Drosophila melanogaster: one gene and its partners. The protein of the gene in region 4 interacts with the protein of the main gene of each other region in a biochemical or structural test. Each region holds a gene or a part of one and is shown on either strand. Other genes may lie near its edges.

Region 1 (3,257 bases), on a different chromosome or scaffold from region 4:
AAATATAACTGAAAATCTGTATAATGAGTGCAGTCTCACAAGGGAAATTAAAACGAATCTTTTAAAAAACATCTTTAAATGTATATTATTAGTTACTTTTTGAGGAAGATCTAGCAAAAATTCGGTTCTTTTTTACACTAATACCATTCCTTTGATTTATACTACGCAATCAAGTATGTATGTATGGGAGTGTGTAAGCACACAGCGATTCTAAGAAATCACTCAAAAAACACATGCATACATACATAAGTTTACACATGTTTAGCTAAAAACTTCGTACTATTTATCGTATTCTTTATAGAGATAACTTGAAATGTATGTATATACATTCAATTTTAAAAGATTTTTTGTCGCCAATACAAACAATTGCTCGTTAATATTATGAGCTTATTGCAATGATACGAATTTAAATAAATTGTGAATGTCAATGACAAATGCATGTGTACATACATATGTATGTACATTAATGAATATGCAGATTAGTTTGTATGAATTTCCATTTTAAGACCCCCCACTCAAATCATTAAGCTCATAGCGTAGTATTTTATTTATTTATTGCATTTAAGTTTGTCAGAAGTCGTTCAATGCTTCGCCTAGTTTAATAAGTTCTGTCTTAACTTTCTCGTACTGCGACAATTGCTGCTCCATTTGGACAGTCAATTTCAGGCGCTTGTCATGGACATGTTGGAGTCGCTCGCGATTGGCATTGCTCTTGGCCATAGCAATCTGTAATTGAAATATAAACAAATGTTAGTTATACTGATAGAATAACAAACCTAGATATGTACATATGTATATGCAAATGATAAACTATAGAAATGAAATTATTAAACTAAAAATCTTCTCGAAGGTTCTTTAACTTTAGGGATCTTTTGGTACACTCAAAACAGTGCAGTAATAGTACAAAGATTAACTAATATCCAAATCGCACCTCAAGTTCTTTTGCCTGAGAGGCCAGTTGCTGCTCCATGAATTCCACGCTGAAGTCCAAAAATCGCATGCGCAGCGGCCGAGTGAGTTTATCGGGTGCTGCAGTGTTCACGTTCCTATAGATTACAATAGAGTAGAGTAGAGTTAGCAATGCAATCGAATCGTATTATGTTTTATGCTGCACATGTACCATTTCTTGCCCTCGTAGGCAGCGAAATGTTCCTTGAGCATTTCCAAAGTTTGCAACTTATTTGGCACATCGTTGCTGGCGAAAAAGCATCGGTTCATTTCGAGCACAACCTTGGTCATCAGACTGCGAGTGCGATCTACGATGCTTTCGGTGTCCAGAGCGGATTGCTCGTGCTCCTGGTAAATGGCATCCCACGCTTGCAGATCTGCGCAGCTAGATATTAACGATTTTTAATATTCGTTATCATGTTAACTATGCCTGCTGCTTACCTCAAGTCGGCAAAGATTTGTTTAATGGCTTCCTCGTAGGCCTGTTTCACCTTTGGTCCCACACCCTCGTGGCGTTTAAATGCGGCTTCCGAATCCTCCATTGAAATAATTTGTTAGTAAATTCAAATTGTAAACAAAACAAAACAATGCCACATTGGTGTGACCAGTTGCAAGTTTCTGCAAAACACCAGGCCGATAGAAATTATAGAGTATGGTGACAACCCTGTTATTGGTTTTTTTTTGAGGTATTTCCACTAGCTCTTATTACTCATAAGTCCCTTGTAACATAAGTGATGTTGAAAATATAAATATATTTCATTCAGCGGTATGGTGAGAATATGTGCCTTTTACATTACAATGTCAAACAAAATGAATAAATACCACCGAACAGTATTTTTAAGAATAAGTGTTAAACCACCGTTTTCAACCATCATATATCGATAGTCCAGGTATCGATGACAGGGTGATACGCCATTTTCCAATTCCTCTCTAACTTTTGTGCATTTTAACTCAGCTCTAGTGTGTTTGTGCTATACATATTTTGAATAATATTTTACCAGCCAGTGTTTAGTGGCGGACAAAATCGTGTTGAATACCAATTGAAAGTTAAGTGATTAAGTTCGGTGGCATCAAAGTCTTCGTAGCTGAAGGAAAACAAAGGCATCCCGATAGGTGAGTTTTTCTTCTACAGTTTTTTTTTATCTTTTGCCTGGGGAAACGCGAATGAAAAGCGAATTTGCGAGGCAAATAAACCAGGCTAAAAGCAATGTGTGTGTGTGTTGTGTGGTCTTGTGTTTTCCTGAATACATTTCTAAGAAAAAGATTCGCCAATACATGCCGATTTTTTATAGCAATATAGTGTGATTTTTAACTACACCCCCAAAATCGTTCTTTTGGCTTCGGCGCTTGAGTTTTACAGTTTTTCTTCCTTTCATTTTATTACAACCACCAGGGCACACAGAAATATTCCTAGCTCTCTCTCGCTCTGCCGCCCTGTTCTCTCTGCCTCTCTCGCTTGCTCGCACGCATGCCGGCTTTTACTTAAAGTACAGAGTCGCATAGTTGTTGTTTTTATAATTGGCCCATCGCTTTAGTCGCTTGTTTTGTTTTTCACATTTGCTGTTTTTTCTTTTCTTTTCGTTTCGTTGCTTCCCTTTTTCTTTTATCTCCACGCGGTTACACCGGTGCATAAATTTCATTATAATTCGCTGAGATAAAATCAAAACAAAATAGTTTCGTTGTTCCGAAAGCAAAACTCCCACGCTACAAGACGAGTTCAACGCTCGTTGGCTTTTTACAAATAAGGAAAAGGCCTAACCTATATTTTATTCATAGTTTTTAGCATCAATCGATGAGGTACGTAGAAAACGGAGAGGCAGAGGAAATGGCGAAGAGAGGCTAATGAGAGAGAAAAATACAAATGGAAGCTAACTGTTGTTGTTTCGCTTGTTGGTTGGGTGCAGCTTATTACCACCTACTTGCCTCCCCCCTCTCTTCATTGCTCCTCTTCTTTTCTCTTTGCCCCCCTCCCCCTCATTAACCCATTGGCATTTGCAGCTTTTTAACAACAGCTCTCTTCTTCTTCCGTCTGCAAATCTTCTCAGCAATTCTGCAACTTTTGCTTTTCGTTCTTTGGCGATTGTGACGAATCTCCTTTGTCTCTGTTTAGATTTCCAGTTTTGCGAAAAAATTCGCTTTTATTTGCCTTTTTTGGCCGAGGTATTTTTCGTTTGTTTCTAGCGTTTATTTCGAGTGAAGCAATTCCAAAGATATTTCGCGGCTATTTGCACGCGTTCGTTGACATTGAACTGAATTCTCACGTAAATGTGTTGAGTTCCAAATTGGTCAGCAAACAAATTGTAAATAGT
Region 2 (7,610 bases), on a different chromosome or scaffold from region 4:
TAAGCGAGACCTGAAAAATTCCGATTCAATTGTCTGTGCACACTCGGCGAAAATATGTGAACCGAGAACATGTGCAAGCATGTGAATATAAAATATTTAGTTTTTTAGCTTCCCATTAACATATTTTAAACCAATCAAGTGAACTAAAGAATATATATAAGATTATCTATATATAAAATCGTTCTATTAATTCCTTTTATTTGCAAGGTATTTTCCGGGAAACTCGTAATAGAGTGCGGCGTGTGGGATGATCAAAGGGTTGACACTGCTGTAATGAATGTTAGATGGTGTTTTGTTAATTTTAAACGATGTTCCAAGTCCCGTGTGGGGATGCAGGCACTGGCACACCTGCCGGAAAAGTTTCTGTTGATTCAATTTTTGTTTTGTTTTTTTTTTTTTTACAAATTTATGTTTGTGTTCCTGCTGCGTGTGATTTGTGTGTGTGCTTTTTTAAAAATTGCCATACAAAGCAGACGTGCAGATTGTTTTGAAAGTTGCCTGCTTATTTGTTCTTTCTGGCGTTGTTACCCCTGTTTGCCATTTCGCTTTTGAAGTCTCCAATGCCATCAACATCACGGCGAGCGACTTGTGAATTTCAAAGAAAATGGAAATAAAATGAACTTGAAATTCTAAGCAGCTAGGATATGACCCGAAGTTATGGCGTGGGTCTATCACCTTTGCTACTTAAAATACATGAAAAAACTATGTCGGTCTTACATATTTTAACAAAACAACTCTTTATTATTTTTATTTTCTGTGGCGAAAACGTAAGAAATATAAATCGGCTCAATACTTATCCGTATATAAATTACAAAGCAATTACTAACTGCGTATACACATCAGCACACTGACTTTATCTATCGCATTTTGAATACTATACCTAGTGCCTAAGGAAGAAAAGAAACATTCAAATAATATATAATAAATATTATTCAGCAATATCTTACCCCTATCTATCTCGATCATGTCACCAACACGCAGAACAGAATGGACTTCCTTCTCTTCGCCCACGGCTAAGGTCTCCACATTAAATTCGCCAAATTGCACAAGGAGTTTCTAAAAGCAGAATAGGTTTTAAAATGATCTGCGAGTTGAATGGGAATAATCTTATATTTTACTTACAAGTGGATGGACTTTCGCTTGTTTCATGCTACGTTTTTGGTATGGCTTGAATCGCATATAACCCAGCATTGCTTTCTCCTTTGTATTGTAGAAAGCGTAGTCGATACCATCTACCTGACAGAAAATCAATTCGTTTGCAGAAGCTGGCAATGAAAAATAGCAATTATTAATAAATAAGCTATATGGATTCAATTTCTATAGATTTTACACTTACAGACACTGGCGTTTTCATCCGACATACTTGCACTGGGTGGTGCATCGCCGACGCCACGCAGCCACTGCATCAGTTTAGTGGAGGCTTCTTCCTGCTCGTCTCTCAGGGGAGTTGAAAATACGACGGGACCTAGCGCAGCTTCCGTATAAGGCGCCTGCTCGTCAGGAACGTCAGGCTCTTCCTGATCGCTTGTAAGTGGAGCAACCGAAGATATCATAGGCTCTGGCTCTGGTTCTGGCTCAGCCTCCGTATCAGTTTGGACACCTCCAACTGCCTTCTTTGGTCGTCCCCTTTTCTTGGGCACCTTCTCAGCCTCTGCTTGCACTTCAGTTTCTTCCCACGTCAAGGTACTCAGGCCAAGGGATTCGGAATGCGGTATGGCCCCTGGCAGCTTTTCAGAAATTCTTGGGGTACTGCTGCACAATGGTCCCCGGTTGTCGGGTAAGTTCTTCTCTACAGTAGGCTTTGGCTTTGTGGCACTGGCTTTCTTCGCCTTACTCAAATTTCCCTTTTTCGTCTTTGAGTTTTTGCTGCGAGGCTCTATGAAGCCACTCATAAAGTTAAACTTGCTAGGATCCATGGTGTGACACCAACTCATCTGAAGTGGAACTTGACCGCGCTTTGATCTCCGAATACCGGCTAAGGGAGCAGAAAATAATAGAGCATACATTTAATTTTATCAAAACATTTATTATTGAATATACTCACTAGTATTTAGTTCCTCAGCTTCCACCGGCATTTTGGCCAGCTTTAATTTGTCTACTTCAGACTTCCCTTTTTTTGATTTCGCCCTTGGTGCAGGTGCCAATGGTTTCTTGAACACCACATCCGCGCTTGATTCATCCGGGGGACGACTCTTTGACATGTTCTGACTACGCTGCAAAAACTCCAACGCCGCTCTACTCGTGCTGGGTACGTCGTCAGACAAAAGAGTCCTACTGGGAGATGGATTTCTGCTGGGAACATCATCTGAGTTTTGATCAATCGGAGGAGTGGGTGTGTTAACGCGAAGTGATTCCATAACGTCTGATGATTTCTCGGTACATTCTTCCCCTCGATTGCTTAGAGCTACGGATTTTTCTGTACCAACTGCATTCTGGCGGGGATTTGAGAGTTTCTGGGACTTAGATGAACGATTGGCTAACTTATCATTTTCTTTGCTTTTTGATGCGTTCTGGTGATTACGATTCTGTTTGTTACAGGACGAATTCCAATTTGGATCTGGACCTTCAATACATTCTAATGTATGTGATGCCATTTCATCCTTATCGCTCTTTCTTCTAGTGACATTTTTATTTTGAGATTCCTCTTTTCCGTATTCTTCATTGTAAATTGGTTCCTCGTCACTGTCATAGTCTTCGTTATTTTCGTACGAAGGTGCAATAATTTGTTCCTTATTGGACTTTTGTACACTCTGTTTGGAGTGCTGCAATTTTTTTCCACTTCTCCTCAGTATACTTGCTTGCCCATGGTCACTATCGTCGTACTCTGGTGGCTCTGGCGGTTCACAATATTCTACTGCGTTATGTGTATTTCGATCAACAAGATTGCCATTTTTCGTCGATCTCCTTGATTGCTCATTGTTGCGATTCTCTTCTTCAACATATTCGATAGGAGGTGGTACCAGTTCGTTCTCCATCGCCCTTCGTCCATTCTGAGTGGATTGTTGAAGTTCTTTGGCTGTGCAACGCGGCTGGCTTGGTCGCTCATCATGTTCTTCTTCCTGGCCCCCTTCGTACCCCGGTGGAGGTAAAACCAGGTCATTTTTATTGCTCTTTCGCCCACTTGTGCTTCTGCCCCGTGTATTTACAACGTACTCTGGAGGCGGGGGAGCAATCTCAATTGCATCACTATTTACACTATCATGGAAATCTGGTGGGGCTGCCATCACGACATTATCGAAATCAAATTTTCCGGAGCAGGGCAGATTTTGCAAAGATTGCGAATAGCGCAGTGAAACTGGAGGTGGCGGAACAATTTGGATGCTCTTGCTTAGTCTTGGCAATTTTACAGGTGATAATGAATCGTTATCTTCATGGTCCGAGCTACCCTTTGTGTACAGACAACGCTTGCCGTCCTTTGAAGATTTGCGTCGAGTCTCTAAAGTCTGGGAGAGACCCAAATAGTTTACCAATTCTGTTGTCTGCAAAACGGGGAAAAAAGGTTTTTTTTTTCCTTCGCAACATATAAGCGATCTTGAACTTACCATTGGAAGATCACGACGAGTAGATCGTGGTCGCCCTCGTCCCTGCGATCGATCATTGCTTTTAGTTCGAAGACTTTGTGTTTTTGGCGGAACCGGTATATAGTCTTCATTCGAATCATCCGAGGACTGTTGTTTTGGCAAACCTTCGGCCTCATCCATTAGATTTCTACGTAGCAGCTCCCTCTGAATCTCTTCTTCTAGGATAAGCTTCTCTGAACGATGGTTTCTGTGCCCATTTAAAGGATATATCTCGTTCAACGAGTTGCGCTTGCGCAAATCCAAAATCTCGTAGTTGCTCATCCGGGTTAGCTCGCGGGCAAACTGCTCGCCATTAATGGGGGCACTTGGAGCCTTATTCAGCGGTATAGCAGTCTTTCGCGGCTTTGACTTTTTGGCATTGACCGACTTGTGAAGGTTAAGCAAGCGCATAGAGCTCTCCTGAGATTCGATTGTAGCTCGAGCCCGATTACTACTGCGCAAACGCCGTTGCCGGGTTGTGTTCCCACCTGAAGGAGCTAGATTTAATGGCACAGTGCTGGGATGTTCGTCGCTTTCGTCGTCGGTCATTATGGCATCCATATTTTCTTCCACCCGCGGCAGTTGTGCAATGGATTTCTGGGGAGAGGCAGCGGCGGATCGCCTAGGAGAAGGCGCAATCGGTGGTGAAGATAACGCCGTAACTGGCGAAGTCGGAACAGATTTCATTGCGACAGCGTCCCTTCTTACACTACGATTCGAATTGGATGTGTTTATCACCACAATTGGGCTGATCGCGCTGCGCGACAGAGTCTGCACCAACTCTCCCAGATCCTGCGGCTGGGTTTCCGGCACTACGAACTCCGGTTGGGGCTCTGATTGCCAGGCTGGGTCGTGACTTTGTCGCTCTGGCGTGTCCGGGACCATTAACTCCTGATTGAACCGCTTTGCCTTAACTACTGGCATTTTGCTCGGTGTGTCATAGCGATGTGATGGCGATAGCAGCAGCTGGCCTGGAGCTGGGCCCTTTTCCATTGTGTAGGTACGTCGTAGGCCCGCAACGGATGGTGATGACGGAGTAGGGGGTCGCGAGTACGGTGCCCGTCCAGAATAGTCCAGCTGCAGTACATTCTTGTGAAAGGAACTCTGTCGCTCTTTGCAGATTTGTTCAATTTCAGCTGCAAGAATAGGGTTCCTGGCAGGTGAGGTCACCTTTGTCTGCAGCGGATTTTCCGGCTCTGGTTCTTGTGATAGTTCCATAGGTTTTTCCGCTGGTTTATCAGTTTCCACTCTTGTTGTATTTTTGGCAACTTCCTCTTTTTGTTTCTCTGTGCAAGGTGTGCTGCTTATTTCTGGTAACTAAAAGAGCATTGTTGTTAGTACAAGGATTAGGTATTTGTGGGACATGTATTTAACATACGAAGTTTACAGGACTTGATATGCTGCGGGTCAAGTTTACGGTCTCCTCAAACTCTGGAAGCAATTGGCGTCCACAGCTCCTGGACCGCCGGCGGATGGCATGTCGACGTAGTTTATCAGATCCGGGTACATTTCCACTGCGGCGCATGGAACGTCGGTTATTGGGCGACAATGTTGGCGATCGACGCGGAGGCACGTTCTCATTGGGGGCCTGGTCCACAGGCGGCTCATTGACTTTCTCGGTGGCGGCACTGTTTTTGCTGACCAACTCCCCAAGGGGCTGTACTTCTGGTAGTTTGGACTTGGGCTTAGCCTGAGACTTCTTGATCAGTGGAACCTCGAAATCAAGGTCAAAGTCAAGTTTGAAGTTTCCAAAGAGATTGTCATTCTGTGCCGGCTTATTTTCGGCAAGCTTGCGCATCATAAAGGCGGCGAAGCGCTCCTTGTCCTTCACTGGCTGGCTTAGGATGTCGTCCAGCTCCAGAGTGTCGTTGTTCTGGGGCTTCGACCTGAAAAACAGACGGGTGAGCTCGGAGTTTGTATGTTCTCTTGCCTATGGCATGCTCGCGGTGGCAACTTACATATTTGCAATTGAAACTTGAAAAAAGGATTCTTCACGAAGTTACATACACGACAACAATAAACTTAACTTATTTCGCTAAAACTCCACAAAATTTTAAACTACAAAAAAGACGCGACGCTATTCATTTGGCGTTGCCAGTAACGTCTGTAGGCGCGCCTAGGTGGGGTGTTGCCAGAGCGCTCGAATAGACTATCAGAAAAGAGCTATAAATATCTAAAAGTTTCTTTGATAATAATAAGACATCACCCTGTATAATTACAAATGCATGATGCAATCGTTTTTAAACAGTTATTGTTAAATACAGCTGAGTTTATTTCAAAAGTTTTTATTGAAAATATACTCGAAAGCGTTGACCAGCAGGCAACCATTATATGCAGTATTTCATTACTAAAATATACTAAACGCGTAAAACGCAAGCTGGTCACACTTTGCCGGCAATTTTTGTTGACAAAACAAATCCAAAATGTTTAAAGCAAACTAAACCGACTTTTCAGATTGATCTATTTGTTCGAATTCACTTTATAACAACTGGAAGCAGCTTTGAAAAGCAACCAAAAAGTGGAGCTATACATTTTCTGCGAGAAGGCATGCAATAGAGACGCTGTGAAAACGACTTTGCGTTCGAGGTTTTGATTCTGTTGGAAAAGGATTACGATATCCATATAACCAGAGATTGGAGTTTTTTAACTGAATTCATGAATTCCCAATAAGATCCCCTATTCCACAGCACCAATACTCAGTAGTATAAGGCTGGCCAACTGTAATAATGGAGCTTGGATAGCTTCAAAGTGACCGATTGACATGACTTTATAAGTTAGTTATTTATTAAAGGTTATTAAAGATTAGGTATTCGAATGTGTTAGTAATGAAATAAGAAGCAGACGAATGGTTCATTTGAACTTCTTTCCGCCCTTTCTCGTCGTAGGAGCATCCACGCTGGGCACCTGAACGGAGTAATACTTCGTGGAGATCCTGTTAAGGAAGTAGAGCCCCACCAGGGAAAAGAGAACACTGGTGGTGGCGCAGACACGATGCACGAGTCCCGCGGCGGCCACCGTGAGTGAGAGACAGAAAATAATCTCTGGTAGCAGCTTGGCCTGGAAGTCCTGGCCGAAAACAACCATCTCCGCGTTGGAGACGCACGTGAGGCTCAGGATGAACACCCAGGAGAAGAGGTATCCGCCCAAAAGGACCCTCAGCTGCGAGTCGTTAAACCATTCTGAGCAGAAACGCAGTGTGCCGAACAAAACAATGCTCAGGAGGCCCGAGATGATGGAGGATACCACGGTGCTCTTACTGCTCACTGAAGCGGCTGCAAAGGTTCAGAGTTTAGTTTTTGTTGGCCGTAATTTCCTTGCATTTGCTTACACATATTACTTTTTCTTCCAGCCGGCGTCTTTCTTATACGTGTAGTGAATTATCGAACTATCGAAACTGATATTTGATAATACAAGGGATATTCCAGTATGTAACGACTAAACAAAGTTTTATTCGTTAGGCAGGCATTTTTCTCTATTTTTTTTACGTATTTACATGAAAAATTCTCGAATGACAAATTTGTGCTTGCAATAAAAATAAAAACAGATATCGTTATTTAAATACTGACATCGATAATTTTTTTTGAGAAGTAATATTTAAATCAATTGATGTGGCAACGCTGCGGCTTTCGTGGTGAATGACATTTGTAGTAACAACATTACACTTGAGCACAATTTTAATAAATTGTAAATAAAAAACGCCTTCAACATGTCCTTTGTGTTGCAATTGGCCACCAGGACAGTACGAAGTACCATTGCTCAGGTGCGTGGCGTAGCCACCACAATGCCAAGGCAAATAAAAGAGAGTGAGTTACAGAGACCTCTGTGAAGTGTTTCATAACCCCTCAAATAAATGCACATCTTTAAAATTAATTCGAATTTCTGTTCAATGCCTGTTCCAGTTCATGAGAAGCAGGAGAACAGTGTAAAGATCTTCGAGGGCGTTAATGTGGAATCGCCGCGTGCTCACCTGATGCTTAAATCCGCCTGCCAGACCAAGTTTTGCCCGGAATGCACCTTGGGCCTGGACATCAAGCACACGGATGTGCTAAT
Region 3 (3,052 bases), on a different chromosome or scaffold from region 4:
AGAAGTATTTTTTCAGAACTTAACATTTTCACTAATTAAAGAGAAGACTTTCGGGGAAAGCATATTCTCTCTTTTGAGCAGGACAAGCGCAAACAGTGTGAGAAATGCATAGTTATTTGGATTGGTATAATTCAGAATTCAGAATTCAGAAAAGTATGCAAAACTTTGTCTCAGAATTTAGGCTCATTTGCATACCAGTCGCACCACAAAAAGTCAACATCTCCAAGTTTTTCACACCATGTGCACGAGAATAAGAATATTAAAATCGCATCTTGCTTGAGGTGTTCGCTTTATAAAGCCATTACCAACTATCCGAAGGACGAAGGCGGGTGGATCCTGGGCGGTGGTTCCTGAACAGTCCGCATGTGTCGGCCGGCATTTTAACACTTTAATCATTGAAATGCAAATTCGGAGCCGAGTTTTAGCAAGACATGCGGCAGAGTGGCACATGCATGTTAACACGGCCACCGACTGGCACGCCTCCTGATTCTGCTTCTGTTCCTGGAGGGGACAGCTCAGGATTCTGGCCGGGATTTAGCATATCTGAGATCCGGGCCACACAAAGAGAAAATGTGTATCGAAACGGAGAAGATGCTAGTGGGTTTTTCAAATCTCACTTAATGGTGCCTGAAAGTATGCACCAAGTTTTGAAAAACATGTATGTCCCATGGGTAACAATGTTTTCCGGGTAACAATTTCGAACTTTCCACCTTTTCATTTTTGTGGCATTTATGGGTCGTTATAAGATTGATGTCGAAATGATTTTTCCTGTGCAGGGGAGAGCACATTTCGAATTCTGCCTACTCCACAGCTGAGTTCCTTTTCGGACCCGGAAAATAATGGAAATGCCGGACCCGGCGAGCGAATAAATTAACCTGGATCGCATTTATATTCGAAAGTAGTGGCTCGGTGATGCTTAAACCTGAGTTTGCCGCAGAATGCTTCCTTTATTGCACGTAAATAAAGTCATAAAGTCATCATTACAACCGCGCCAACGAGGAGCACACGATAAGGAGCACAAAGGACAAACTTTTGTGACTGCGATAAAAATTCGCAAATGCGCACAAATTACTCAAAACATATTAAAAACTGCGTCCCCGCCTCAACAATTTGCCCAAAACGTTGCACAAATTAAAAACCCTCTCGAAAGAGCGGAGATAAAAGGAAATTCCATTGTGGCAAGTTTTCCCGATGTGGCAAACTGCAGTGAAAGCACAACTTTCGGGGAAACTGAAAAGTGCAGTTATTGAGTGTTAGTTGCAAGTTCCTTCGCCGATGCGACATGTGAAAAGTTGTGTAATTCAGTTCGAGAAATACACTCTGAATGTGGCGTAAAAAATGAGTTCAATGTTATATTGAGTGTTTTCGAAGTAATGCCAACTTACCAGATTTGATGCTTGAATTTAACCAATTAGCCAATAACCGTTGTTTAAAATAATTTATACAATATATATGTTATCATAATTGAAAGCAGCTCGAATACCCTATACCTACAATCATGTCATATAGGGGTTGGTATTCACAACCTATCTGTAAATGGTCACATATGTTTTCGGTCGCCAAGTTTTGCTTGTAATTATTATTTTGCCAGAATTGTGTTAAAAGTATGAATAATATTGAAGAGGACACCGAAGCAGCCTTCAAACGGCTCCAGGCTGTCATTCCACAGGTGAAGCAGGCCTACGAGGAAGCCATTGGACAGATCTTCTCGGATTTAAAGTAGGAGAATGGCTGATTAAAAGATTGACCAAACGCTTACTATTGCTTAGCTCCTCAGATCTTGAGTCGTGTGCCTCCATCCTCGAGGAGCACGAATCCACGAGCCTGGACACCGAGCAAATAATCCACAGCACCCGTCGGCTTATGACCAAGATCGTCCTGGATGTGAACCAGTGCTTCTTCTCCGGCAACGACGTGGAGACCAAGCTGACCACGCTGGAAATGCTTAAGGAGCAGTTTGCCGCCCACGAGGGCAAGAACTGGTTAGTGAATGGTTTTGAATTTGGTTGTCCAGCAGCACTTTCCATGGTTTTTAACGTAAATCCGCAGGAACTTCAACTGTCTGTCCCCTGAGGAACTTACTCGCCCTCTGCGCATGCACAACTTGAATCTAAGCATCACATTCATGGAGCAACAGCTTAAGAAACAGGAAAAGGAACTCGAGGTATGTATTTCAACCTCCGAAGAATTAAGTAATACTTGGATTACTTCGATTTTAGATTGCTATGGCCAAAAGCATTAAAAATCGACAGCTTATACATGATGTCCACGCTGAACGGGTGAAAGTGGGATGTATGATGAAGCAGCAGTTGGCCGAGTACCAGGCCATTAAGCCACAGTTAATGGAAATGGAACGGCTAATAAATGATTCGTATGTGCAGGAAGAAATGTAATTTTATAAAAAAAAACAGATTATTATTATTATTATTATTATTATTATTATTATTATATTAGTTGCTGGGTCTTGAAATAAATATGAATTTCAAACTTACCGCCACAAGTGGCATTGAATTCGAGCGGCGCTTTCCAACACTTCGATGCGTGTGCACAGCTGACTTGCCGGCAAATGAAAAACATTGAATAATATTCCGAAAGCATGCTGAACTTGTCCGTGGTGCTCCGGGTGCAATCATCGCGCCATGTGGCTTCATATGCCACAGCGGCGGCGGCGGCAGTTAAGACGAAGCCACCAAAGGCAAAGTCCAAGGGCAAAAAGCAGAAGGGGGAGCCCCTAATCTCCTGCAGAAGAAGCCAGTTCGATTTAACCCAATACGAGCAGACGGATGCCAAGTTTGGGAGTCTTTCGCTGGCCTCCAAGGGCTGGCTGCACAACAAATCCAAGGGAGACTTCTTCATCCTGAACGCCAGCGTGCGAGGTGAGGAACTCCAGCAGGAAATGCAGACCGTCGATGAGTTCCTCGAGAGCACGGGGATGCAGATTCATCCGCAACTCCTTGAGAACTTGCGAGTCGAGCTGGGCATCAAATTACTGACGGGAATCCAAAAACAGGGAATGCCCGTTGTCCATGGAAATGAGCACTGCCTCATTGCC
Region 4 (3,605 bases):
AACTGACTGAAGTACAACTCCATTTCATCCTCCTTTCTAGCCGCCGCCTTTCTGGGTTTGGTGGGCGGGGTGTCCGCTCTGTTCGGCTTCTCGCGCACGCTGGCCACCGCCAAGAAGACGGATAGCAAGGTCCTCCAGCAGGCTGGAACGCGGCAAGGCATGATCCTGATGGACGAGGGCGCCACCCTGGCCCTGCGGGCGCTGGGCTGGGGCACACTGTACGCCGTGATGGGCACCGGCGCCTTCTGCTACGGCTTCTGGAAGCTATCCGGAGCCAAGGATGTGAGCATGCCTCCGATTTGTTCAATGAATTTCGCTTTAAATCTTTCGTTTCGTTCGCAGTTCCAGGAGTTCCGCCTCAAGATGGGCAATGCACTGCCAAGAATCACCAAGGACGAACCACCAGCCAGCCGCACCGATTTCGAGAGTCTCACGGACCTCATGAAATACCTGGCAGCCTGGAACAAGGAATAAGCAGCTCACAAATATACACACAATTTAAAGTAGACCTAACGCCTGAGTAGACCAGAACATAAAACGAAACCTTTGTTAACTTCAGTTTACATACAGACAATGTTTTCAAGACGTTTGATCGGTTTTCATTTCTTTCGGTCAGACTTAAAGGCAGCCATCATCAGAAGTGCAACTTAGGGAGTTACATATTAGGGTAGAAATAAATACAGTATAATTCGCTTAGCTGCATCGATAGTTAGCTGCATCGGCAAGATATCTGCATTATTTTTCCATTTTTTTGTGTGAATAGAAAATAGAAAATAGAAAAAAAAAAATTAAGTTAGCTGCATTTTTAAGTTACCTGCATCGAGGCATTGTGCAAAGTACTCGAGGCAGCTAAGCGAATTATACTGTATAAGCCAAAAGCAAACCGTCTTACAATCTCTGAGTCTTAATTTAATTTATCAATATCTACAATTCACATATGTATATTTATGCATAGCTTAGGGTCACCGTTGGTTGGCCATATTCTGGTGTATAGCGTTGTTGATCATGGTGTTCCGCATGAATAGGTAGTGATCGTCCATATTGCACTGCAGCTCCATCATGTCCTCGTGCTCCGCCTGAAATCGGATGGCCGCGTTTGTGAAAGCCAACGAGCTTCGCACGAAGTTTTGCAAATTGGGTCCCTGATCTAGGTAACGCTGCTGCTCCTTGTTTGGCTTGAAGCTAACCTTGCGATTGTCCGTGTCCAGTGCCGCATGCATTACAAAGTCGAAGAACTTTTGCTGCTCCTTCTGGGCGCGCTCCTTGTACTGCTGCACCTCGTCCTCCTGACAGCTAGGATCCCAGACTGAAAGTCTGTACGTTAAGTAAATGGCAATTTAATTAACCACAAGGATTGCACTTACTATCGTCCAGGTCAATGTTAAACAAAGTGCTTGCTTCATAGCGACGCGGTTTCAAAGTGGCCTCCAGTTGGGCCGGCACGTCCTTGAGATCGATGTCGGAGAGATCACCGCTCGATAGATCGACGGCACTCGTGTTGCCCACGTATTCCAGTACGTCACTGCGGCGTACGAATTTCATTAATTTTTCTGGACTTTCGGCTGGCTCCATCGCGTCGCTTCGTTTGTTTTCAGTTTTTAAATCCGTAAACGCTTGCCAACACCCATCGCTGATCCAGTGATGCCACATCTTTTGAACGTAATTCGCTCTGGCTCTTTTCAAGCCAAAACCTTTTATACAAATTAAAATATACGATATAAAAAATTGCACTTTTAATATTAATAAAAAGATATATACTCATTGAAAAAAAGCTGAACTAAAAAAGGGGAAAAGGGTTATAGGGCATAAGTCATTTTATGAATGCTAAGCAGGCCTTGCGTTTAGAATCACATTTCAATTTATTGTATTTGTTCAAGTAGTCAAACCAAATGAACAAAATCGAGAACCGAATACACAGCTATATATATACTTTCTCAAAATCCAAAATTTTAAGATTATCCAAAATTTCCAAATAATGATTTATGCGATCGTGATACACATACTGTCCCTTCTGGTGGGCTGTTTCTATCCAGCATTCGCGTCCTACAAGATCCTGAAAAGTCAGAATTGTAGCGTCAATGATCTTCGCGGATGGTTAATCTACTGGATTGCCTATGGAGTTTATGTGGCCTTTGATTATTTCACAGCGGGTCTGCTGGCATTTATTCCATTGCTAAGTGAGTTCAAGGTGCTTCTCCTGTTCTGGATGTTGCCCTCTGTGGGCGGCGGCAGTGAGGTGATCTACGAGGAGTTCCTGCGATCCTTTAGCTGTAACGAATCCTTCGACCAGGTCCTGGGACGTATCACCTTGGAATGGGGCGAATTGGTGTGGCAACAAGTTTGCTCCGTTCTTAGCCATTTGATGGTTTTGGCAGATCGCTATCTCCTGCCCAGCGGTCATCGTCCTGCCCTCCAAATAACGCCCAGCATCGAGGATCTGGTCAACGATGCCATAGCCAAAAGGCAGTTGGAAGAGAAGCGGAAACAGATGGGTAACTTATCTGATACCATCAACGAGGTTTTGGGAGAAAATATCGATTTAAATATGGATCTGCTGCACGGATCCGAATCTGATTTATTGGTTATTAAGGAGCCTATTTCCAAGCCCAAGGAGAGACCAATACCGCCGCCGAAGCCAATGCGTCAGCCATCATCAAGCAACCAGCAAGAAATGAATCTTTCGTCGCAGTTTATGTGACATCAATTGATATCCTCAATATGTCAGGCGGAAGTTGTCAAAGTTCAGAGCTTTCAAAAAGCATACATCTCAGAAATAAACTAACCTTACCGCAATAAAGTTTATACAAAAAAAGCATTTAAATTGATTAATTTTAGTCACAAAATATTGAACCAATGTGTTGGTTATCTTCTTAGCTATTTTTTCTAGCCTATTTTCTTGTGTTTGCACAATCAGTCGCGGAGGTCTCTTTTCGCGGTCCGGTAACGCTCACATAACAAAACTCAGCAACGAATCAAAAACAGCTGCATTTAACGCGATTCGACTCGGGATTTGTGTCCTTCCTTTTATGAGATGATATGCCGACTCTGCCTGGAGGATGCTGAGCACGGGGTGCCCATTTTCGGCCAGGAACCGCCAATGGGACAACCGGCACATCGCCAGCTGGCCGAGCTGATCGAGCGACATCTGCTGCTGGTGGTGAGTGGATTTGGACTTTTCTACCCCAAAAAGATGTTTTTTTCTAATGATTGAATTGTTCGCTTTCAGTTGGCGGAAAACGACGTGGTGTCCACGTGCCTGTGCAACCGCTGCTGGCGGCAGCTGGCCGAGATCGAGCAATTCTGTTCCATGGTAGCGGAGAAGCAGCGGTCGCTGCACCGCTCCTTGCAGCTGAAAACTGAATTGCCGGAGCTGCCCGAACTGACGGAGCCGGAGCCCGCCCTGGTCGTGTGGAACACGGAGTCGCCAATCGAGCCAAAGCTCAGCTATGAGGGCGATGACATCAAGGATCACATACTGTGCGAACCCGTCATCGACGCCTTGTCCGCGGGCGATGAAAAAGACAGTGACTATGGCGACACCTTTGAACCGGACTTCGAGCCGGAATCGCAGCCAGATGAAGAAGAAGAACCGGAGCCGGATCCGG

The links.
Region 1: the proteins of Kmn1 (region 4) and Nnf1a form a complex in vitro, tested with the Drosophila melanogaster proteins (2 studies listed by BioGRID).
Region 2: the proteins of Kmn1 (region 4) and Cenp-C form a complex in vitro, tested with the Drosophila melanogaster proteins (one study listed by BioGRID).
Region 3: the proteins of Kmn1 (region 4) and Nnf1b form a complex in vitro, tested with the Drosophila melanogaster proteins (one study listed by BioGRID).

The regions. Positions count from the first base shown.
Region 1 is NT_033778.4:20,585,684-20,588,940, forward strand, and holds Nnf1a (Nnf1a), read right to left. Parts: upstream 1,556-3,257; 5' UTR 1,491-1,555; coding exon 1,390-1,490; intron 1,334-1,389; coding exon 1,121-1,333; intron 1,047-1,120; coding exon 932-1,046; intron 727-931; coding exon 571-726; 3' UTR 539-570; downstream 1-538.
Region 2 is NT_033777.3:8,562,165-8,569,774, reverse strand, and holds Cenp-C (centromeric protein-C), read right to left. Parts: upstream 5,671-7,610; 5' UTR 5,521-5,670; coding exon 5,519-5,520; intron 5,447-5,518; coding exon 4,939-5,446; intron 4,878-4,938; coding exon 3,543-4,877; intron 3,480-3,542; coding exon 2,045-3,479; intron 1,976-2,044; coding exon 1,337-1,975; intron 1,266-1,336; coding exon 1,123-1,265; intron 1,057-1,122; coding exon 948-1,056; intron 888-947; coding exon 823-887; 3' UTR 527-822; downstream 1-526. Other genes in the region: CG31460 (uncharacterized protein), read right to left, coding at 6,411-6,832, 6,889-6,892; mRpS18A (mitochondrial ribosomal protein S18A), read left to right, coding at 7,267-7,363, 7,460-7,610.
Region 3 is NT_033779.5:809,040-812,091, forward strand, and holds Nnf1b (Nnf1b), read left to right. Parts: upstream 1-1,537; 5' UTR 1,538-1,606; coding exon 1,607-1,719; intron 1,720-1,769; coding exon 1,770-1,982; intron 1,983-2,049; coding exon 2,050-2,164; intron 2,165-2,219; coding exon 2,220-2,393; 3' UTR 2,394-2,492; downstream 2,493-3,052. Other genes in the region: Dbp21E2 (DEAD box protein 21E2), read left to right, coding at 2,597-3,052.
Region 4 is NC_004354.4:11,570,827-11,574,431, forward strand, and holds Kmn1 (kinetochore Mis12-Ndc80 network component 1), read right to left. Parts: upstream 1,617-3,605; 5' UTR 1,573-1,616; coding exon 1,365-1,572; intron 1,307-1,364; coding exon 963-1,306; 3' UTR 557-962; downstream 1-556. Other genes in the region: CG11699 (uncharacterized protein), read left to right, coding at 41-282, 343-474; Reepl1 (receptor accessory protein like 1), read left to right, coding at 1,976-2,698; CG11696 (uncharacterized protein), read left to right, coding at 3,032-3,157, 3,227-3,605.